2 linked regions of the Mytilus edulis genome follow. The protein of the gene in region 2 purifies or fractionates together with the protein of the main gene of each other region. This does not show direct contact. Links are inferred from orthologs where the notes say so. Each region holds a gene or a part of one and is shown on either strand. Other genes may lie near its edges.

Region 1 (7,624 bases), on a different chromosome or scaffold from region 2:
GAAGCTTGGACAATGAAGTAAAGTTGTAACAAGCAATTTGAAGAATAAAGAATATTTATTTGTTGAAAAAAAAAAAAAAAATTACTAGTCTGGGGCACCAGACTTGTGGCTGGCTAACTGTGCAGACTGTTATGGCACATGAGAAAATGTTTTTTTTTCTTGAATAAGAAAATACCTATTTTTTAAAATCATTTTAGTATTTTTTTTTTAACTGTTATAGATATGAACATGATCAAGCAACTTAGTAAAAAACTTTTTTTCTAAAAAAAAAGATTAACAATTGCCGACAATTCTTAAAACAGTTAGGGCCTTAACCCCTCAAATCAATTCCCTACTTCCTTTTGTGGTATGGAACCTTGTGGAACAAATTCACAGAGATCTGTGCACTTATACTTAAGTTATTGTCTGGAAACCAAATGTCTTCATATGACGACTATGACATCACCATACCATTAAGGCAGCATTTTTTTGCGGTCAAATAAATACATTGTAAGTAAAAGAAATAATCCTAAATCAACTTAAGTTTATTAAGAGAACTATATTGTCCCTGCTGCTTTAACAAATGTGTAAATTTAGTAGATTTAATTCAGAACTTATTAATCTTTAATCTCATGAACTAAACAAACAAATTTACAGTGCCCATATGGTCTGCCCCACTTGCATTGAGACTTGTAAATACAGTATTTTGGATATAAACACATTTTCATGTATGAGATTTTCATGGTTCATAAAATCATGTTCTTTGAATAGTATTGTAAAGACCTCTATTATTATTATAGAGACAATAAAAACACTTCACAAATAAATTCAAAAATTAAATGAACAAGGGACACAACTCTATCTTAAAATGTATGAAACCTGTATGTTGCACTTCTGTAAATTTATATACATATATAGACAATACAATTTCCTGTAAGAACTACCTTGATGGCTTAAACTGTGCAACTTTTACTATGAATTTTAGTAACAAATTATATTTCCTAGAATTGAAAGTTGATGTGCATTACTACTCAGTACTGTAAAGATAGAAACCTTAATTTTTGTGGGGTTAAAATTTCGTGGTTTCGTCGCTCTGTAAGATTTCATGGGGATTTAATTTTGTGATATCCTAGCTTAAATGTAAGTGGTATTATATGTATGTTAAATTTTCGTGGGGGCTTTAATTTCATGGATATATTCTTTCCACAAAATAAACTAAATTAAATTCTCCACGAAAATTTCTGCTTTTTCAGTATTACATTCATAAAGGTTACATGGGCTGTGCTGTTAATAAAATCACACACCTGTGCACATAAGCACTTGTGCATTAGTTTAAAAAACTTGGTTCTGATGATTCTTTTTTTTTAAATCTTTAATGCCATTTTTTTTTAAAATTCATCATCTTTTCAGTTTTACCTTATGTTGCTGATCTGATAGAGTCAATTTTTTTGGACTAAATCTCAAAGATTCAAACCATTGAAATTTTTGAAAGTTAAAATTGACTGATGGTCACATTTGACATGATACATATGTACATGTAAAATGTAGATGTTCTGGAAAAACTTTTTAACCTGTCATCTGAACAAGTAAATTACAGCTGTCAGACAATTATTCAACTTAATATGAATGGCTACCAATCACCATTATAGTTTGACTATCTATGAAATATATATATGTAAAAAATGAAATATATTTTTTTTGTTCAATCATCAAAGTCAGTTTGGTTATAATTTGTCCAAATTAACAAGAGATGGGTAACACAATCATTCTTCAGTTGTTATACATTTTTGTATCATTGTATATAAAAAGGAAAAAAATGTCAATCTTTATTAATGTTTATACATGTATCATGCATCAAATAATGTGAGTTCTTAGTCTTCAGAGGTCACCACAATGGTTAATAAGATGGCAACTAAACTAAAATACATACTAAGTGCTGTTACATGTTAACATTCATATTGTTGATCCTATGGCTATGAATTGAAAATTGTTTATACTTTTTTCTAATTAAGATATACGTTTTAATACATTTTTTGTGGTAAACAAAAATTGGACAGCTAATCAGTAATGCCTCAGGGCTTTAAAGCTTCATCCTATGGTTTTATTCATTTTTTTTTTATCAAACATCTAAGTAATATCTAAAAATGTACTGCAAGACTTTTTAAATATATTGATGCTTCAACTATTAGATTTATGTAATTGTGTTTAACCTTAAAACAGTGTACTTAGAACTACTGAATTAAAATTCATCCTTCATAAAAAGCAGGTAAACTTTTATATACAATAACAAATACACTTTAACACACTACTCATGCTTTTATCATTCCATCAATCAAAGTTTACTGTAGCTGAGAAGCTACAAAGATCATGATAAGACAAAATGACTCATTTGAAAAACATTCTAACCTAATTGCTAAAATCAAATTCGATATTAAAATTACAAAACAATTAATAGCAAAAAAACTGATCTTTATCCTTCTGAAATTTGTAAATCGAAAGTACAAGTTTCAGTTTCATAAAAGTTGACAAGTGAAAGTGAAACTTGTCATGTATATTGTGGACACCTTTTTTTTAAGACATATCAATAAAAGGGTCAATATGCTCCTTCTGTAGGTATCTGATATTTTTTTCTTCAGAATTCAACAAATACTCATTGTTTGACACAATATTTTACCTGATAAAATGCTCCATTTGCCCCGCAAACTTCTACCACAAGGTTTTCCATTTTGAACACAGGGAATGATGGGAAATTTAAGTATTTTCCACGCTCTCTTTATATTTCACACAGTCCTGAAGTTAAAATGCAATAGAATAGAAGTTTGTGGCCGAAACTCATCAATTCTTGTCAAGATTAAACTATAGTCTGAACGAAAAAAGTACGGAACATCGACTTTCAGGGAGCATTTCCAAAAATCTAAGTTATTCGGATTGTCTCGGAATTTTCCATTGACTTTATAATAAACCCCGAGAAAGACTTTGCCACTTCCTTTTTTGGATTATTTTGGCAGAAATGACAACACTCATTTGTAGATATCAGTAAATAATGTTTTCTGTCCACTTCAGGTGACAAAATGTCGTCCGATAGTGAACTAGAAGAATTTTATGACGCAGAGGAAGCAACACCAAAGCGGTATGGATTAAGAAAATCAGAAAAAAAAATCCTTAAATATTTGTGTACAGTGACTATCAGTGTAGTTGGTTATCGCAATACTGGGAATCTGAGTCCGTTCGCGCCCATTCACGTTCGCACCCACTCATGTTCGCACCCTACATGTTCGCACCCAAAGTCATGTTCGCACCCTACATGTTCGCGCCCAATTTTAATTGGTTTTGTGTTTAATATTTTTGTAATCAAGTTTTGGCAACTGTATTCTTATAAGTATAATTGTTGTCATTGTCTCAAAATAAAGTGAGACAGCATTTTTTTTTGTGTTGAATAAATCTTAATCATGTTTCAGAAAATGTATTGTTAAAAAAATAATAATCCTTTCTAAATATAGTCATGAGTGGGATTCTGTCAAAGTTTTATTTTGTGTTGAATAACTCTTAATCATGTTTTGGTTACTTTGTTCCACTGACTTGTTTCAAAATAAAATGAGATTCTGACTACGGTTATTTTTTTTGCGTGTTGAATAAATTTCATCATGTTTTGGTTAACTTATAATTTGTGTATTGCTATATTTTATTGTTTCATTGTTTCAGATCTATAAGAGGGACCAAGCTGTTAAAAACAATTATCTTTTGTGTTTTTCATTTAAAATCTTCATTGTTTTACTCAAACCAAGTTATAAATACATTCAGTATTTACACTTAAGCAATTTAAAACAACAGTCATGTTTTTCCAATTATTTAACTGGAATTTGAATTAAAATTGGGTGCAAACGTTTAGAGTGCAAACGGACCTTGGGTGCGAACGTGCAAGGTGCGAACGTGTAGGGTGCGAAAGTGTATTGGGCGCGAACGGACCTGATACCCAATACTGGTATAAAAATTTTGTGCCAGTATTGTATTCCAGTATTGTACCAGTATTGTGTTTTTTTTCTAAATAAACAATACTTATACCAGGTTATTGATCTTTTACTAAAGGTGTCACATTTATATATATATATTCAAAATGAAATTAAATTATGACATGACAATTTTATAAGGAATGAAATTATGAATGTATGTTTAACTGATGATGGCATTGATGGTAGCTTTCAGGTCGATCCACCCCAAGTCCATGATGTCATTGATGGTAGCTTTCGGGTCGATCCGTCCCAAGTCGATCTGGCCCCACGTTGATCCAGCCCATATGTAAAGTTGATCCGTCCCCAATAAAAAATATTTTTATAAGGAATGAATATAAAGATATTCAGGATTTGATTTAATTAAGTGATTACAAGTGGCATTACCTTAGTTCACAATCATCAGACAATTGTTGAATAAACAAACCAATTATAGACTAATGATTTGATTAATCAAGTCATTATGATGAGTTAAATTTTATAGGTTTCAGTGGACTGTAAATATTTATTTAGATATTCTGTGTATGAACTAACAAAAAATAAAATCGCCATGACATTCAAAGTTAAAGTTATCACGGAAAATAACTTCATATTTTAAAATATGTTGAACCTGCAATTCAACAATAACACTCATTTTCTTATCGTTATACAATGTTGACAACCGCATGCATTAACAATATGGCGAACAAAGACCTCTACAAAAGCACCCATAAAAATTGTCATCTGAGGCACGCTGTACTATTAATGAACAAGGAAGTAGATCATCAAGTTAAAAATAAATTTTATCACAAAAGCATACCTGCCAACTTTCACGATTTAGGCGTGTACTACACGATTTTGACCCTTTGTCACGATTGCACGATCGTGATCGTGAAAAACCCTCTTAAACACGATTTTGTGAAAATCTACACGAAAAATATGATTGTTCCCGATTTTGAACTGTGTCAAATGGAATACAATTTTGTTCAGCCAATCAAATTCTATGTTTCTCATGATCAAATTAATCAGCCAATCAAAAAAGTTTTCTCTCAAGAATATTCTAACATTCTAGATTTTGAACTTGTGTTGTATTCCTCTGTTTGTTAAAATCGTGAACATGGCAAATGGTTTTTCACCTAAAAGGAGGTTCTTACACAGAATAAGAATAAAAGCATGACTGATTGACAAACTTCAATGATGCAGTACTACCATAAAGATAATAAATAGTAATTTGTTCACTAATTCATTGACATTACACTTGCTGTAACAAATGTTATAAATTTATGTATTCAATTAAATTACCAAATTATTTAAAGTACAATGTACTATTATTTATTTGTCACATGGACAAAACAAAACCCCCCACACGAGGAACCTCTTAAATGAAGGACTTTCCTTAGTCAAGGGGTTATTTTACTCTTGTAAAAAATAAAATAGAAAAATCATTAAATGTAGATTTTTTAACTTAAAAATCGGAAATTCTGACATTATATTTAGAACAACTTTTCTAAATGAAGGGTCTAATTATTTTGAAAAATAAAGAAGATATAAGGCCAAGAACATATCAAAATTCTTGGACATCATGGACATGTGTTGACCATATAATACCAGATAGATCATAAGATGTATTATAATAGTTCTTTGGGAAAAGTTTCTTCAAATAATATGAATATGTGCTCATTTTTACCTAAAAAGTGGTTTATAATGTCCTAACATTGAGGGGTTACCCCTAGGTGTTGTTCCCAACCTGATAAAGGTCCTTCTTTGTGCACAATTTTAAATTGGAAAAGTCAACAATTATTTAATATCCTTACACATGAAATTAATTCTTGGTCTTGCAGCCACATGTTCATCTTTTCTACTGATATGTAATAACTAGAATCATGCAAATAAATTTAAGAAAAAAGCATGTAAGTTCGTCTTACAAATATGACACTTTTTCTAGACCACAAAAACAGCACGCGCAAAATAGTCGTCGCAAAGTATTGTAACCTTTGAAATTGTTGTCGCGCACTAAAACCCCCATGGGCACTTTCAAAAGTTGGCAGGTATGCAAAAGTATTTTATCGTGACTCATTACCACATCAATTTACAAGTTATAACAAAGTGTTTCATAAAGAAATTCATCATCTATTTTCTGGAACTTGAAGACTTACCGGTAAGTCCCTCAGGTGAAGCAATAATAACCGTATCCAAAGTCTAACCGTAAACTTGTTAAGTCCCAGACCTCTAACCACTGCTAAAGTCCAACTGTAAACTTGATAGGTCCCAGACCTCGAACCACTGCTAAAGTCCAATCGTAAACTTGATAGGTCCCAGATCTCGAACCACTGCTAAAGTCCAACCGTAAACTTGATAGGTCCCAGAACTCAAACCACTGCTGAAGTCTAACCGTAAACTTGATAGGTCCCAGACCTCGAACCACCACTAAAGTCCAACCGTAAACTTGATACATTTGTAGGTCCCAGACCTCAAACCACCACTAAATTGAACCCAATGTCAGACGAAAGCTGTGTCCTTTTTCCTCTAGTGTCTCAATATTGCATGTAGACATTGGCTCTGCTTCTTGGCTTATACATCAATGATCATCCAACCTGAAAAATATATAAAATTTTCTTAATTCCAACTTGAAATACGGGTATACATATTTAAAGTAAATGTACAAAAAATGTACATGCACATAGTTAAATTGCACATGAATTCTTTTTTTAAGGTATGTTCAGAAGAATTCATTGAAAGATGCACTAGAGAAGTTTTCTGTAAGTAATACATTTAAATTTGGGACTATTTATTTTCATTGTTTAGTCAAACTTGTATTCTATTAATATTAATGGCCAACACTCTAAAGACTTTTTGCTCTGATGCAGTGCAATACACCCATCAATCAACCATATTAATACTAGCTTTAATGCTCAACCAGCATTGGAAGTCATCCTATATAGTGAGTTTGTGTTTTCAATACATCCTGTCTACTCTATACTCGTTGGAGTAAAAAGGTGATGTTATTTATTAATAATTACAACTACCAGAAGGTTTACAATGACCTACATTTAGCCTAATGATCAAGGTCAAATGAATAATTTAAAAAAGATGTAAAAGATACCAAAGGGACATTCAAACTCATAAGTGGAAAATAAACTGATAACGCCATGGCTAAAAAAGAAAAAGATAAACAAACAAACAATAGTACACTAAACACAACATAGAAAACTAATGACTGAGCAACATGAACCCCACCAAACTTCACAAACCTTACAATGCCTCATGTCCAGATTCATAAACTTTGAATACCTGAAGGAGTAAGGTAATAATACATAAGCTTGGTATGAGTGTTCAACACTACTATGAGCATTCACCACTACTTGAAGAAGAGTTGTGAAAAAGATTAAAATTGCAAGCTAAAAAGTCAAGGTCATAAAATTTGTAGAAAGATGCAAGCCTTAAGTTCCACAAGTCCAATAGATAATTTTCATGTATATCCAATTTACAATTGTATATTTTAATTATTATATGTAAATGTCAATTTGCAAGTGTAAGGTAATAAATACCCTTCTCAATATCCTCATCTACATGTATAATATTTTGAAATTCCACCCTAAGAATTTGATACAATTAAGACATATAGCCAGGCAAAAAAATGGTATCCTTTGAAAATGTAC
Region 2 (7,333 bases):
CGTCACGAATTTTGAAGACTTATTGCACTAGTGCAATGTTAAAATTTATTGCACGCTAACTTTTGGTTACTTTCTGTTGGAAATAATATATTGCTATACAATAATACTAAATATTCTTTTATCTTACTGACTGATAATTTCCTTCCAATGGAGTCGAGCGATATGAAAAATTATGGCTAGAATTTAAGGGAGTATATATGCCTGTTGTCAACGAAATTAACAACATCCTCTGACCTCATAGGTTAAATAGCGACTAACAGATTATAATTGGTCATCTCAACTTGATTGATTTTCTAAATTTCGCTATACAGACTTAAGTGAGAAAATCAATCTCGATGATGAGATGATCAACGATAATAATCTATTTCTTATACCTTGGTTCATTAGTCATAGATGAGTTTTCTTCAGGTCTTCTTGGCCGTCTGTCTTCCCTTGGTTCTCTATTTTCTCTGTTCTGTCTAGCACTCCTTGGAGGCCTTTCATTTTGCTGAGTCCTCGCTTGGGATGGGACCACCTTTTCTGTAATTGTAATAAATACTGTCTTATAAAACATACAATGATAAATTCTGAAATTTCAAAATGAACAATCCCAAGAATAGGGGATCTTGTAAATTTTTTCCATTATAAGGCTCAATTTTTTTTATTAGGCCTGGTTGAAATGAATTATCTATTAAAGGTATTCCTACATAGTTACTTTCTTTTGTTTGTGTGCCCACCAATACCATAAACAAAGTTGTCTTTTTTTAGTCATGGCGTTGTCAGTTTTAGATTTATGAGTTTGACTGTCCCTTTGGTATCTTTCGTCCCTCTTTTATAACTATGGGTCTAAAGCTCAAATTCAAATCAACAAAAAACTTCCTCTTAGCTTACACATTGCATGAATAGTACTGGATACATGTGTGGTAGAGTGGAAACAAAATTACTAAAATTCTTCCTTAAACTGTCCCCAGTACACGGATCGCACCATCATTTTCTATGTTCAGTGGACCGTGAAAATGGGAATCCCCATTTAGGCATTAAAATTAGAAAGATAATATCATAGGGAACATGTGTACTAAGTTTCAAGTTGATTTCTCTTCAACTTCATCAAAAACTACCTCGACCAAAAAACTTAACCTGAAACGTGACAAACGGACGCAGACCAGAAAACATAATGCCCATAAATGAGGCATAAAAATGCAATTTGGAAAAGAATTGTTTTTTTTTACTTTACTCTCATTTTTGTTTTTAAACAGTTTAGCCCACAACTATAATGGTTTTGTTGTAGTATAATGCAAATTTACTTACAAATATAATTTGATCTCACTCAACTATTTTTTGTTTGTGTGTGTAACCGGAGAGCACGTATCGTATCGAATCGTCACCACCGGGATTCGAACCCCGGTCGTCTGGGTGACAGTCAGTGCGTTAACCCACTGAGCCAAAGAATCGATTCCCTAGCTCAGTTGATTAAGACTGGCTATATATGTTCTACCTGTACTAAGGGGAAGCAACCCCGCTACACTATTCCCCCACCACAAGAGTCATCATATCTTCATATATGACTCTTAACAACACAAACCCTGGCTATACTCCAGATAACCATCGTGGATTTTTTTAGTTGGGCGCCAATGTAACCGGAGAGCACGTATCGTATCGAATCGTCACCACCGGGATTCGAACCCCGGTCGTCTGGGTGACAGTCAGTGCGTTAACCCACTGAGCCAAAGAATCGATTCCCTAGCTCAGTTGATTAAGACTGGCTATATATGTTCTACCTGTACTAAGGGGAAGCAACCCCGCTACATGTGACTGAAAAGCTGGTAATGTAAGTGCAGTTTTCTGGCAGTTCTAATATAAATTTCATTTTTTTTGTGGTCTTTCGCAAAAGCTGGTTTCTTGTCCATCAGTTCATTTAACAGAGATTTAGCAATTTAGACAATCAAAAATAGCTAAATTTATAAAATCTATATCTGCATCAGAAGCAGCTGATCAGAAGAGTTGCATGTTTAATCAATTGCAATATTTTTTTACCATGTTGCGTCACAGTATTTACAACCAAAAACTACAAAAACCTTCATTTGTTTTGTACCCCACCTTAAGTTGCATACAACCGTATTTCCCTGCAAGACTGTCCTTAATATAATAGAAGTAGGTTCAGGATCAGAAAACATGGTGGAACATAACTAGTAAACTACATAACCAAACATGGTCAAGACCACATGATAAACATAACTTCAACATCATTGCAAAATATATATTTATCATCTGGTACAGATGGTAACCAGTTTTCATACATATACACGTGAATGTGGAGGGGGGAAACAAATATAACGAAGTATTTTGGACTTCAAGCGTGTTATCTGTGAACAAATGTCAAACGGGTTACCTAATAAACAATCAAGACAATGCAAATAATCATTTCTGCACGATAGAATTATTACCTTCTTTCTTTTGTGTGTTTTGCTCTGTCAATTTAGTCTTGTTATCAGTTTGTGGTGCTGTCTTTTTTGTCTTTTTAGTTGGTTTGGACTTGTCAGCTTTCTCCTTCGCTAAAGCCTCGGTTCTCTTCTGTTCCTCTTGCTTCAGGATTTCATATGGATCGACATCATCATCGTCGTCAAAAAGACAGAACTTATTAGTCACTGCTATGCCGTATTGCGAGTCCATTGTTCCTCTTGATGCTGAGGATGGCAATGGATTTTTACGGCCTTACTTTTTAAGGTGCTACAAAATGGCGTGTTTCTCTCCAGACAGTATGAGCATGCTTTGGAATTAGAATATTCGGAGGAAAAATCCTTCCTTAGTTGTAACATAAAAACCCGAGAGTCTCGACAGTTCAAGGTTGTTTTCAAGTTCCATATTTAGAAATTTGGCGGGAGTAAGTCATAGAAATTTTATAGCCTCTGTTTTGCCACTAGTTTTCTCGCAGTTTAAACATTTAAGAGTACATTGAATAACTAAAGTCTTCATGCATATTATAATTCAGCCTATAACTAAAGTGTTTTTAAGAAATTGTAATTTATATCCCACAATGCATAGCAACGACGGGGAAACCACGAAATCCTTTTTTTAAATCTATTTTTATACCACATACCCGATTGGTGGAGTTCAGTTGGCACGATAACGGGTTTATACAGGTAAGAATTAAATACCTATGAACAAGGGTGACACAACGAAAGGTAAAGAAGTGATTTAACCATGCCGTCGTGGGGATTTAAAGATGAAAGTAAACCAGAATCTATAATTGAACCAGCATCAAATATGGATAGGAATTCCCCTGATGAAGATTCAGCTGATTTGGAAGATTATATGAAGAGAGGACGTCCGAGGGCCGAGCTAATCACTTCATTGATCTTCAAAGGTGCAGTGTCCCATAGTGGAATACGTTGTCATGTGTGTAATCGGGTTTTTCCTCGAGAAAAATCTCTCCAAGCTCATATGAGAACGCATACAGGTCAGTATTTATTTTATTTTACTCATTGAAAAAAAAATTTGTATCCTATATGTTGATAATTGACTATTTATATACTAACCAAAAAGTGTCAAACTTTTGAAATCAGAAAAAATCTTGACTTTCAAAGCAACTATTTGACAGTTCCATGGAATTTAAATTTATTGTTACCATAAACATCAATGTTTTCAGAAGAGGGTACTGATTGGAAATTATTCAATTGCTACAGTTGGAATAGTTACGGTACATTGATCGACCATTTAAGTATAAACATGTACAGTTGAAGTTATGTAACAAATGTAATTTAATACGGTAAAAGGTTGACAGGTAATGAAATGAAAAGTAGAATCAGGAATATAATATTTGTGAAGTGCAAACCACGTTGTAATGTTATTAATATTAATCTTTGTTTACATCTATATTTGTTGCAGACATTTAAACCTCCAATTTAAATCTACTACATGTACGAATATTTCCAATCAAAATTTAATTGGGGTGATATTTAAATGGCCGATCGATCAATCGTTGATCCACTGTGTCGTCAAGCAGACAGGTAATAGGAGATCAAACAGTACACCATTATCTTCAAGCTTTAACATGCTACCTGGGTTTTTAACAAAGTCCCGCCCCTTTCTTTTCGTCATGGTCGAGGTCCCGTTACACGCATGTTAAACCACTAAAGAGCACTTTGTCTCAATCCATTTGTAACGGGTTTCTTTAGCAACAACGAAATAAACAAACACAACACAAAATACCTATTTACAAAGACAAGAGATGTGTTTGAACGCGTCCCAGTATTACACCTATATTGATCACGGATTTTACCTGTGTAAATCGTCTTACCTGATTTTAGTGGTGTTATTTTTCACTCCCGTACTTAGTCTTTCTTTCACCAAATTCTACCCAACAAATGTTAGAAATTTTCAATATTTCAAGCCTTTAAATTCATCATTTGGGACATTTAAATTTATCACCGTATGTTTTGAGGTACAAATAAAAATTTAAATGCTCAATATCTTTTTAAACCGAAAGTTGCACTTTCAGAGACATTTAAATTTTAGAGCACGTGTAAAGACATTTAAATCCTATTATTATACCTTTTAATTTTGTTTTCAGCAGCCGAGAAGGTCCATTTAAAAGTTTTTATTGGAGTAAAAGGGTATTCCCTCATCAAGCTATTTATAAATTCTACATCATATATACCCGGAAGGCTGGTCACAGACCAATACACAAATAAGATCCGTATGTTGTCAGCATATTTTAAACATACCGAGCATGTTATACTTTTTGATTGTCAAAACTTGTTCCATTTCGTCAGTTTTAACCCGTGATCACTAGTCCCACACGATGTTTTATACTATATATAAAATAATAGATGTCGACGGGAAAGGGGGAGGGGTGAACATTCTTATACTATGTGTTTTCCTCATCTGACCGTCTGTTTTATTTATTGCCGATGAAAAACGAATTTGAAAGTGGGCAATACTAGGACCTTGTTATTTTTTATTGTAACTTTCAAAAGTTTGATCCAGTGAAGAAAAAAAAATTACATTACCCTAAATAATTAAACAGAACAAAATCAGCATATGACAATGCCTTCGATATTTGCCTCTTGTGTTATTGAGACCCATTAGGCATTTTGAAAGACTAATAACTTGATATAAGAAACCGTAGGTACACTGTACATGTATCTTTAGTCTTTGAGGTTGCCCAAACTACAAAACATTGTCTCTTTAATAGGTACAAAATGTCATATGAAATGTCCATTTATTATACTTTAGACAGTCGAACATTTTCAAGATACATTTTATTTTCATTCAAGAGATGTGAAAAAAACACCACGAAAGCTTACATTGTATCCCTGCTCTCCCTTTGGGATTCTAAAGTATATTTTTGCTTCCATTAACCATTTCAGTGTATTCTGGTTTTGATGCTTTAGGTAGCAAAACGTCTTAAACGTATATAAAACGGACACCTAAAACACCGGACTAAGACGAAGACAACATAAGTTTGTATTCTTGTGTTGTTGGTTTTTAAAAACTATTTTCATGTATTCGGAGTCGTGGACTTTCTATCTTTCCCCCCTAAATAGATAGCTTATGTGTATAGCCCCGAAGCTCTTTATAATAGCGTATAATTGTACTCTTAACGGGATACATGATTTTACTGTTAGCAATCAATTAAAATGTGTCTATACTGTTACAACACTAATAGGTAAATAAAGTATGAAAATAATTTTAATTTCATCAGGGCTATTGTACTGAGCCATTTCTTCTTGCGAAATGAACCGTAATTTCGTGGAAATGTTTTACAGGTGACGTAGTTTCGTGGAATATAACTACCTGTATTACAGAATTTGTTCTCGACAAGATGTTATGCAATACTGTTGGTCAATATTTATTGAAGTTTGAAAAGTTGGATTGTTTAATAAACCAATTTATAAATAGGTCGTAGCCCAGTCAACTGGAAAGCAAATAAAACTCCGTTATTTTGTTGAACTGATATTACTGCAATTTCACATTCTGTTTAGTTTTTCGGCTTTCTTTTTAGTTTACCTTTTTATTTGATCTTTTTATATTTATAATTGTGCAGATTTAGTTCAATTCTAATGACTCATGGTTCGGTAAACAGAATCTTAAAGTTAGTTGGTTTACTGGATGTTCGTATAAAAAGTTGAAATGGAAGAACATTGAATTGATTTTAGGCTGGAGGTTTATGATATTTTACTAACTAAAATATTGAAGTAAAATATCAAGTAATATTTGTGTATTTTTGAATGGCCTTTGTATGACTAAGTAAGGTTTACGAGTGATTAAGCAGGATAGGCCAAGGACAATGGAAGATATAGTTAGCTGAACCGTTATTGTTCTGGAGTTTTTTGTCAAGTGTGTGGTGTACATTTATTCCTTTGAACACGCAGTTCGCAGGGTATCTGTTCGGATTACTAACAAAAGATTACAAAATTCTGAAATGTTAACAATTACATGCCCGTTATTGCACACACTCAAACATTAGGCTCACTAAAATTATTTTTAGCATCACGATTACACAATATACATGCTTGCATTAAAAAAGGATATAAAACTTGCAACACCACCTTTCATAGGGCTTCATAGGATCCGATCAGAAAAGCTAAAAATAAATACCAAAGAAAATATTTTTTCGTTTATTAGTTTGGTTATAAATCTGTTCGTTTTCCCCCCGTTTGAAATTATTCACATTTTGTCATGTCGGGGCCTTTTATAGCAGACTTTACAACATGGTTTTGAAGGTCGCATCAACTATGGTGACCTACATATTCATATTTGAATGCATGCTTAAATACACTTTGTTGTACTCTGTTGGATATAGTTGTCACATAGGCCATCCTACCACTTCTCCTGTTTGTATATCACACCACCTTCCTTAATTTCATATTAAACCACATCTCCTTTTTTTTTTATATAACATTACACAGTCTTATATCAGAAACATATTAAAACCGTTAAACAAATGATTATAGGGTAGGTCAGTGTTTTTTTGTTATCCTCATTTTTTGGGACTAATACATTGATCGAATGTAGTACCAAGTCGTTTTGTACTTGGAACATTTGTGCCAGTTTATACCTTGAACATTTGTTCCAGTCGTTTTGTACACCGAACATTTGTCCAAGTCGTGTTGTACCTTCAGCAATTGTACATAAAGTATTGGTTCTAGTCTTAAATTTATGTACCTTGACCATTCGTTCCAGTCGTTTTGTACCCTGAGCTTTTGTCCTAGTTGTTTTGTACCTTGAATATTTGTCCCAGTCATGCTTGATTTGAGCATTTGTTCCATGCAGTCGTTTTGTACCTTTGGCATTTGTCCCAGTCGTTTTGTTCCCTAAGCATTTGTGACATTCGGTTTGTACCCTGAACATT

What was found. The genes of interacting proteins can lie anywhere in the genome.
Region 1: the proteins of SERPINE1 mRNA-binding protein 1-like (region 2) and RNA-binding protein FXR1-like purify together in Drosophila melanogaster (affinity purification with western blotting; 4 studies listed by BioGRID, with this or other methods). This does not show direct contact. The link is inferred for Mytilus edulis from reciprocal best matches to the Drosophila melanogaster genes vig and Fmr1.

The regions. Positions count from the first base shown.
Region 1 is NC_092346.1:88,448,912-88,456,535, reverse strand, and holds the start of RNA-binding protein FXR1-like, read right to left. Parts: upstream 3,051-7,624; 5' UTR 2,705-3,050; coding exon 2,654-2,704; intron 1-2,653. Other genes in the region: WD repeat-containing protein 44-like, read left to right, coding at 3,051-3,109, 6,679-6,724. UniProt on the Drosophila melanogaster protein: Polyribosome-associated RNA-binding protein that plays a role in neuronal development and synaptic plasticity through the regulation of protein synthesis of mRNAs.
Region 2 is NC_092344.1:122,518,520-122,525,852, forward strand, and holds the start of SERPINE1 mRNA-binding protein 1-like, read right to left. Parts: upstream 3,064-7,333; 5' UTR 2,650-3,063; coding exon 2,424-2,649; intron 520-2,423; coding exon 375-519; intron 1-374. Other genes in the region: uncharacterized protein, read left to right, coding at 3,181-3,436.